2 linked regions of the Caenorhabditis elegans genome follow. The protein of the gene in region 1 interacts with the protein of each later gene in a pairwise test. Each region holds a gene or a part of one and is shown on either strand. Other genes may lie near its edges.

Region 1 (4,015 bases):
CCTATAAACAAAAATGTATTTATTAAGTAATCGTTTAGTATAATAAGTTTTATATATACCTCTCCACTCAGTTTCTTGGTCTGTCCATATCGAACCTTGAGTCGCCGGGATTGATAATCCAAGCAGTTAGAGCACGAAACAAGCTCACGATAAGCTCCAGATCCTGGGAACCAGGCTTCCAAATCGAACTTTTTCGCGGCAGCATTGTTGAGTTCTCCAGAGACAATATTGACGACTTGGTATGGAATTTGAAGCTCCTGGTAATAGCTCTCTGCATTTCCAATCATCTCATCGAAGAGTGTCCATGATTCATTATCGTTGGGACTGCACAGAACGAATTGCTCGATCTTTTCAAATTGATGAACACGGAAAATACCGCGTGTATCTCTACCGTGACTTCCGACTTCTTGTCGGAAGCAAGTGGAGACACCAGCATATTTGATTGGAAGCTCAGTCTCTTTGATCCACTCATTTCGATGATAGGCGGCAATTGGCTGTTCAGAAGTTGCAATCAAATACTTCTCGTCGACAGATGTATCACCTGCGATTTCCGATCCCTTCGAGCTGACCTTGTAGAGTTCATCATCGAATTGACTTAGTTGAGCAACTTCTTGCATGACCTCTTTCCTCATGAAAAATGGAGTATATAGTGGAACGTATCCCTTGACATTGAGACGTTGCAGAGCTAACTGAATAATAGCTTGCTCCAAGAAGACAAGTGGGCCCTTCAAGAAATATCCACGACCTCCAGCAACAACTGTTCCGCGCTCTCCATCAAAGCCATCAACCATCACAACCAAATCAACGTGTGAATACTTCTTCTTGGTGCTTAAATCTCCGAAAGTTCTCTCAATTTTGTTGTTAGCTTCATCTTTTGATACGACGACACTAGAGTGAATCAAGTTTCCGATTTGAATGAGCTTCTCATGGCGTGCATTTTCGTTGGCGATGACGGCAGCTGCAGTTTGAACAGACTTCTCATCGACAAGGACTCTGAGCTTTTTCAGTTGAACAACGGTTAACTGAGACAGCTCATCAATTTTCAATTCAGCAAGACGTGCGACAATGTCATCAGCAACGGAATCGTCTGTTCCTTGTGGTTCCTTCTTCTAAAAAAATCTTTGGTTGACACAAGTTAGAGTTAACTGACCTTCATTTTCTCCCCAATAGCTTTAGAAATAGCATTCTTCTGGCGATTAAGTTGATCAGCCACAAATCTCTCCTTTCTCCATTTCTCATCCAATTCAATCACTTCGTCGACCAACTTCGGATCCTTGAAACGGTCCTGCTGCGACTTACGAATGATTTCTGGGTTTCCACCTTAACTTCGATACTGTTTTTCAACTGTTGGCAATGTTTTTAATGATTGACACTTACCCTTTTCAGTACGGAACATGTCAATGTCGAGAACCATCTTGAAAGCTCAACAAGAGTGAATTACCCTGAAAAGCACGAATATATTCGAAAGTATGTAAGCAAACAAAATTTTCTAGAGGATAAAATAAAACGAAAAGCGTCACATAGACGAGAGATTTGGTAAAATTTCGTAAGATTTCAGGCCCGGTTCAGGTCAGTTTAATGTCTGCGATTGCTCGTCACATGTGATGTTTCGTGTGGCAAAGGGTACGGTGATGCATTTGATTTGACGCCAATTACTTATTATTGAAATTTGGATTTACTTTTTTATTTACGTTTTAGTCATTAGAAAGTGAGTTTTTTAGGTTTATTGTTAACTTAGAGAGTACATAATTAAAATTAATACAAATCGGTCGAATATAATACAATTTATGAAGAATTTACTGTTATTTGCGTCATTTCCAGGAAAGCTCGATGAGCACGAGTGCATCCCTTTCTCCAGCAGCTTTACAAAAGCGATCAGATGCTCAGAAGTTTGCTATTGACTTGTTAATTGGCGGGGTTTCAGCGTCAGTTTCAAAAACTGTAGTCGCTCCTATCGAACGTGTAAAAATTTTGCTCCAGGTAAAATTCTCATAGTCAGTGTTAATTCAAAATGATTTTGTAACAAACTACGTTTACAGGTTCAATATTCGCACAAAGATATTCCTGCTGATAAGAGATATAATGGAATTATCGATGCATTTGTTAGAGTTCCCAAAGAACAAGGATTTGTATCATTTTGGAGAGGAAACATGACAAATGTTATACGTTACTTTCCAACTCAAGCTTTTAATTTTGCATTCAATGATTTGTACAAATCGATTCTTCTAAAAAATATGAAACGGGAAAATGTAAGTTTTTTGGGTGAAATTACATTTGTACTCTAATAATATTATTTCAGAACGTGCTCTCATACAGTGTCAGGACACTCGTCTCTGGAGGACTTGCTGGTTGCTCTTCACTTTGCATTGTGTATCCATTAGATTTCATTCGTACAAGGTTATCTGCTGATATCAATCATCACACGAAGCGAGAATATAAAGGTCTTGTGGATTGCACAATGAAAACCGTGAAAAATGAAGGATTTAGTGCACTCTACAGAGGATTCGCTATTTCTCTTCAAGTGAGAATGTATCTTTCTTATCTTCGTCCTATTAAAAATTTTTACAGACATACTTCATTTATAGATCTGTATATTTCGGATTATACGACGCTATCAGAAATACTATAAACACGGATAAGAAGAAATTACCATTTTATGCTTCGTTTGCCATTGCACAAGTATGTTTTCTTTTTTCAAAAACTTTATTTGCATTAAAAACTGTTTTAGGGTGTAACCGTACTATCGTCATATTTAACCTACCCTTGGGACACTGTGCGGCGGCGAATGATGGTAAAAGGACAGCTGAGCACATCAAAGGCTTTTTCAGCTGCACGAAAAATTGTCCATGAGGAAGGTGTTCGCGGATTGTACAAAGGAGCGTTAGCTAACATTTTTAGGTTTGTATGAGGATTACATATAATGTTCTTTAAATTTATGGTTTCAGAAGCGCTGGTGGAGCACTTGTCATGGCACTTTACGAAGAGATTCACAAGCATATGTGATCGAGCAAAATTGGACCGAAACACATTTATTCACCATATAATAATTCTCAACCTTAGATTCTCATCTAGCGATTTATTTTTGTATATTATTCTGAATGCTTAGGAAATTGTTTTTTTTCTTGTTAACCGGTTACCTTCTGCCATGAGGATCGTTTTTTTGTTATCCTATTGATAAAAATTCAAAATTTCGGAGGAGAGCTGACGTGTCACTATTCTATCAAACGCTTGTCGCATGCATTATTTCACTCGTTTCATCGATTTTTATTATTTTCTATCAATACTGAAACTGGGAACTGGACAAAACTACTTATAATTTAGATTGAACAAATCGAACGCAGTATGGTATTAGTATGGTGAGCTGAAATTATCTTTGGAAAAAAAAGTTAATTAATAAATTTCAGAAATTTGTCAAAAATGTGTTAATTTTCATCGCATTGTTCTCTACGACGTGCTCACTCAAAACAACGAAAAATCCATTTCTTTTAACGAAGGAGGAAATAAAATATGCGTCAATTTCAGATGTATGTGTGCATCTAATTTGTAACTAAAACTATAACTGACAGGTGGATTTGCAATATGGATTGGCAAAAACACGCGAAATGTTTCAATTTGGATGGGATAACTACATGGAACATGCATTTCCAGCAGATGAATTAGATCCAATTCATTGTAGAGGCCGTGGACACGATCATGATAATCCGTAAGTGAGCAGGAAAAGAGAGAGGTTTCAATAACAGATTCAGAGATAATATTAATGTTAACGATGTGCTTGGAGATTACTCGTTGGGATTAATTGACACTTTGGATTCGCTTGTGGTTTTTGGTAAGTTTGTTAATTTTTTTCAAAAGTTATTATTAATTGTCAAAATTAAAAAATGGAGTATCGTCAGTGGAAATTTAGTCTAAAAATACTCATGATAGCCCAACATGTCTGATTATAACAAACCCAAAATGTTTAGATTTTTTCGAAAATTTAATTCAAAGTTTTGGTAATTGTCAAATGTTCCAAAAC
Region 2 (5,050 bases), on another chromosome or scaffold:
TACCAGCAAGGCTAAACCCTCTCGACGGACATCCAACAATTAGGAATTTTTCGACCAAATCGAATTGAGTTTTGACTAGCAGTGCATAGGTATCTGTTCCTTTAGACGATCGACGCAGCAGAAATGTGCCAATGGGGCTGTATTGCACCATGTCCGTGGATACTGTATCGTAGAAGTACGGTAGATCCGACAAATCGGCCACCTCTGTGATCTGTAAAAGCACGGAATCTGAGAATTTCACGCGGTGTTGTAGAGTGTCTCTTGATCTACGCTGATCTACAAAAAAAAGCGGCAGAGCTCTCAACTGATTTCGCATGGTTAAGAGCGTGCTGAAGAAGCCACATTTTTTTGGAAAAAAAATTCCCGCATTTTTTGTAGATCAAACCGTAATGGGACAATCTGACACCACGTGAATTATCGAATTTTCCAAAAATTTGGCAAATTATTGATTTTCTTGAATAGTGTTAATTTATTGATTTTTCTGCCCCCGAAAATCGAGATTTATCGATTTTCTCAAATAGTGTTAATAAATTGGAGAAATCCAGCTTGGACCAAAAAAAAAAAATTTTTTTGTTTTTTTTTTCAGCAGGCAGGCATTAGGTAGGCAATTTATAAATGGGTCTCGCCGCGATTTTGTACCAAAATAAGTGTATTTGGTACGCCAAAGCCTACATTAGATATTACGGGAACACAAAATTCTGAAAATGCGTATTGCACAACATATTTGACGCGCAAAACATAAAAATATCTCTTAGCGAAAACTACAGTAACCCTTTAATTGACTACTGTAGCGCTTGTGTCAATTTACGGAAATCATTTATTAATCAATAAAATTAAATTTTAAAAGAAAACTCAAAAATGACATTTCGTAATTTTTTTTTGCCATTTTTGTGTTTTCTTTTAAAATTTAATTTTATTGATTAATAAATGACTTCCGTAAATCGATACAAGCGCTACAGTAGTCAATTAAAGGGTTACTGTAGTTTTCGCTACGAGATATTTTTATGTTTTGCGCGTCAAATATGTTGTGCAATACGCATTCTCAGAATTTTGTGTTCCCGTAATATTAGCACAATTTCGCCTTTTTTAATTAATTTTTTAAATTTTTTGTAGAAAATTGTGAAAAAAAACGTAACATTTTTTTGCTTAAAAATTGTAATTTTTCATCAGTTTTTTCCTAGAATTTTCAAATTTTCAGTTAGAAATTTCCAGTCTTTCCTACTTTTCCCTACCAAAGGTTCCAAATGTGATCTTAAAATAATTCCAACGGAACCGCTCGTCTCATTTCGTCCTAACATCCATCCGGTCTCGTCGGTCTCACAAACTGACAGAATATCACCGATTTCCGAGTTCATTTCGTCGATTTCGCGTTGTTCGAATCGTCTAACGCATAGGTACTTGGTTTCTTGGATTTCCTGGAAACAAATTTTATGGTATATTAAAATTCCGGCATGCACGGGGTGCCAGCGACTGTCCCATTACGTTTTGATCTACAAAAAATGCGGGAATTTTTTGCAAAATCAGTTGAAAACTCTGCCGCATTTTTTGTAGATCTAAGTAGATCAAACCGAAATGAGACCACGTGGACATGTTTGCGCGTTAAATTTGATCTACTCGATTACGGACTCAATACACCATATTTTACGCGCAAAAACTACTACTATTACAGATAATTCTACAAAACTTTATATTCGTGTATATCGATATTCTGACCAATTCGTCATATTTGACGCACAAATTATAAATTATTACGGGAAGACTAAATTCTGAGAATGCGTATTACACAACATATTTGACGCGCAAAATATCTCGTAGCGAAAACTACAGTAACCCTTTAAATGATTACTGTAGCGCTCTTGCGTCGATTTACGGAAATCATTTATTAATCTATAAAATTAAATTTTAAAAGAAAACACAAAAATGGCAAAAAATAACGAAAAAACCAATGAGAATTGTATTTTTTTGCCATTTTTGAGATTTCTTTTAAAATTTAATTTTATTGATTAATAATTGACTTCCGTAAATCGACACAAGCGCTACAGTAGTCAATTAAAGGGTTACTGTAGTTTTCGCTACGAGATATTTTGCGCGTCAAATATGTTGTGTGATACACATTCTCAGAATTTTGTGTTTTCGTAAGACATGGAGTAATTTAATTGTTTTTTTAAATTAAATTTGCGCGTTAAATTTGATCTACTCGATTACAGACTCAAGACACTCTATTTTACGCGCAATATTATAAATTTCTTTTTTTTCTCTGAAAAATCACTTTAAAATCCAACAAATTATCCAATAATGCAAAAATTTGCGCGTCAAATATGGTGTATCACACGTGGTGTCAGAGTGTCTTATTTTGGCTTGAATAAAGTTGATCTACAAAAAATGCGGCAGAGTTCTCAACTGATTTGGCATGTTTTTGGGCGAAAAATTCCCGCATTTTTTGTAGATCAAACCGTAATGGGGCAAAAAAATACCCCATTAATCGGCATAATTCCTCCTTTTCGAACTGGAATCACAGCCAGCTGATAGGCATCTACAATATCTCGAAGGGTCTCGAAACGCTTTCCTTCGAAAAAGTAGTGAGGTGGGGTGAGTTGGCGGATGCTGAAAAAAATTTGAATTTTAAATTTTTATGTTTAAAAACCAACGGTAAATGTTTCGGATAGCCGTCTTGATCCAATATCGACAGATAAAATCTCGTCTGGCCAGTTTGCCGAACCAAAAACGCGCCGGGAGATGTGCCCTGGAATGTTTTGCCGGTTTTTTGCCATTTTTTGCCATTTTTTTTGTAATTTTTCGCAAAAGAAACCTGAAGCAAATGATTGGCATCGTGTTCGTTTAATTCCCCATGGTACCACACATCGTTTGGCGATATATCAGGCGGTGTTGGGTTCGTGTGAGTCTGCGAAAAAACAATTCCTTTTTTTTAACTTAGGATTTTTTAGAATATTTTAAACTGTAAATATAATTGATTTTCGATGAAAATAAATAATATAAATGGTATTTTTCTAATTTTTTCTAATTTTTCCTTTTTTTCCTCGATTTTCACTTGTTTCGCCCTCACTTTTAGAAACAATGGCCCTTCCGTGCTGCTGTTAGGTGTAGTATTCTCGCTTGAGTGCATAACTTTTCATTTGCACCTGAAAAATGCCAAAAAATTATTGATTTTCATCAAAAAACAGGAAAACAAATTCAAAAAAATGCGAAAAATCGGACGGGTACGCAATTTTGCGTGACGGTGTACGTACTGGGGAAATGGAGGGAAATTTGAATTTTAATTAATTTTCGATGATTTTCGATGAAAAAACCTGATTTTCAGGTAGAAAATTAGAGTTTTAAACCAAAATTTTGTTTGGAAATTCGAAAATTTGCGCTGGAAGCTAAAAAAAAACAATATTTAATTGTCTTGGCCTGATTTTGGAATGTGAATTCCATAGATATCAACTCCGCAAATGTTTTTTTTTTCTTATTTTTATCGTTTTCAGCTAATTAGAAAACTTTTTTTTTAATTTTAGGTGAAAAAATGCAAAGTTTCATCGAAAAGTACTAGAAAATGTTTAAAAAATACAAAATCCGGAGGAGGCAGTGGAAAGTGAACTCCGTAGATTTCAACTCCGTGGGATTAATCCCAGTTTTGCTAATTTTCAGTCTATTTTTTAAATTTTTAATTTGAAAACAAAACGTTTTTTTTAATTCCTTTTTAAAAAACCCATCGAAATGGAAAAAAAACCCGGGGAAGGCAGTGGAATTTGAATTTGGTAGATTTCAACTCCGTGGAATCAAGCTTGAACAATTTCAATAAAAATTCAAAGTTTCCTCAAAAAAAAAGGTGGTAAACGGTAGGAAATAGGTTGTGAATAAAGTGATAAAAGTTGAAGAAAAGAAATCGAAAGAGAAGGGGGGAGAAAAGGACGCATATTATTACACCCACGCAGTCTTCTTCTTCTTCTTTCTCACAATATACACACACACACACAGACACCAGATCACTTTTCTGTGTGTGTGTATATGTGTCTGCGTCTCTACCACGAATCACTGTCTCTCTCTCGGTTTTCTGTGTCTCTTGTACAGCGAGAGAGAGAGCACCGGAAGTTCGGATGATGGACCATTTGTGAAAGTGGGAAATGGAGGACGGAGAACACGGAAAGTTTTGGAATTTATTCAAATATTTTGGGTAATACCTAAAAATAAAGAATTTTCGTGAAAAAAATTGTCGTTGTGATAACAGATAACACAGTGATAACAAGACATGTGATTAAAAATTATGTTTTTTTTTTGAAAATTTTATTTTTTACAGCTGGAAAAGTTTAAACGTGTACACGTGGTGTCAGAGTGTCTCTTATTTCGGTTTGATCTACGTTGATCTACAAAAAATGCGGGAGAAGAGACGCATAGTTTTCAACTGATTTTGCATGGTTAAGAACGTGCTGACGTCACATTTTTTTGGGCGAAAAATTCCCGCATTTTTTGTAGATCAAACCGTATTGGGACAGCCCCTGGCACTACTTGCGTGTGGAGACAGCGCCAAAACACCACATGGTGTATTGGCTGCGCCTACTTTTTCAATGAAATTTTACATTTTTAGAGCAGTTTTGCCGTAAAATTCAGCTGTTTTTTATTGTTTGAAGAAAAAAAGGAAAATTAATGGGACAAGTACCAGCTCCTGCTCCTCCGGGCTTCTTCTTTTTTTCTTTTTTTTTGCCAATTATTATTACTCGGAGGAAGTTTTTTTTTTTTTTTTTGTTGCAATATTTTTTTTTCTAAAAGAATTTTAATTTTAAATTCTTATAACCGGTTATATAACCTAAAATTCAAAAATTGAGAAATTTTTTTAAATTTTGAAGTTTACCGCCCTCAAAGGATATTTGAATTGTTTTAAATTTTTCGTTTTTTTTTTGAAACAAAAAATTTTGAAAAAAAAAATTGAATAAAAATTCACGGATTTCTGGCTTCCCTCATATATTGAAATAAAAGAGTTTTTGCCGAACTAGGCCATCTTGGCTCTACCATACCTGGGGTAGATTTACGGCGCGTTGCGTGTCGCGTCGCG

What was found.
Region 2: the proteins of C47E12.2 (region 1) and gap-3 interact in a two-hybrid assay, tested with the Caenorhabditis elegans proteins (one large-scale study listed by BioGRID).

The regions. Positions count from the first base shown.
Region 1 is NC_003282.8:10,001,153-10,005,167, reverse strand, and holds C47E12.2 (ADP/ATP translocase), read left to right. Parts: upstream 1-1,665; 5' UTR 1,666-1,708; intron 1,709-1,821; 5' UTR 1,822-1,830; coding exon 1,831-1,980; intron 1,981-2,039; coding exon 2,040-2,249; intron 2,250-2,299; coding exon 2,300-2,521; intron 2,522-2,568; coding exon 2,569-2,679; intron 2,680-2,728; coding exon 2,729-2,898; intron 2,899-2,945; coding exon 2,946-3,003; 3' UTR 3,004-3,194; downstream 3,195-4,015. Other genes in the region: sars-1 (putative serine--tRNA ligase, cytoplasmic), read right to left, coding at 1-1, 60-1,109, 1,151-1,320, 1,378-1,414; C47E12.3 (alpha-1,2-Mannosidase), read left to right, coding at 3,354-3,356, 3,405-3,524, 3,567-3,703, 3,747-3,826.
Region 2 is NC_003279.8:2,007,356-2,012,405, forward strand, and holds the start of gap-3 (SH2 domain-containing protein), read right to left. Parts: upstream 3,171-5,050; 5' UTR 3,125-3,170; coding exon 3,065-3,124; intron 2,903-3,064; coding exon 2,810-2,902; intron 2,744-2,809; coding exon 2,649-2,743; intron 2,605-2,648; coding exon 2,475-2,604; intron 1,416-2,474; coding exon 1,233-1,415; intron 212-1,232; coding exon 1-211.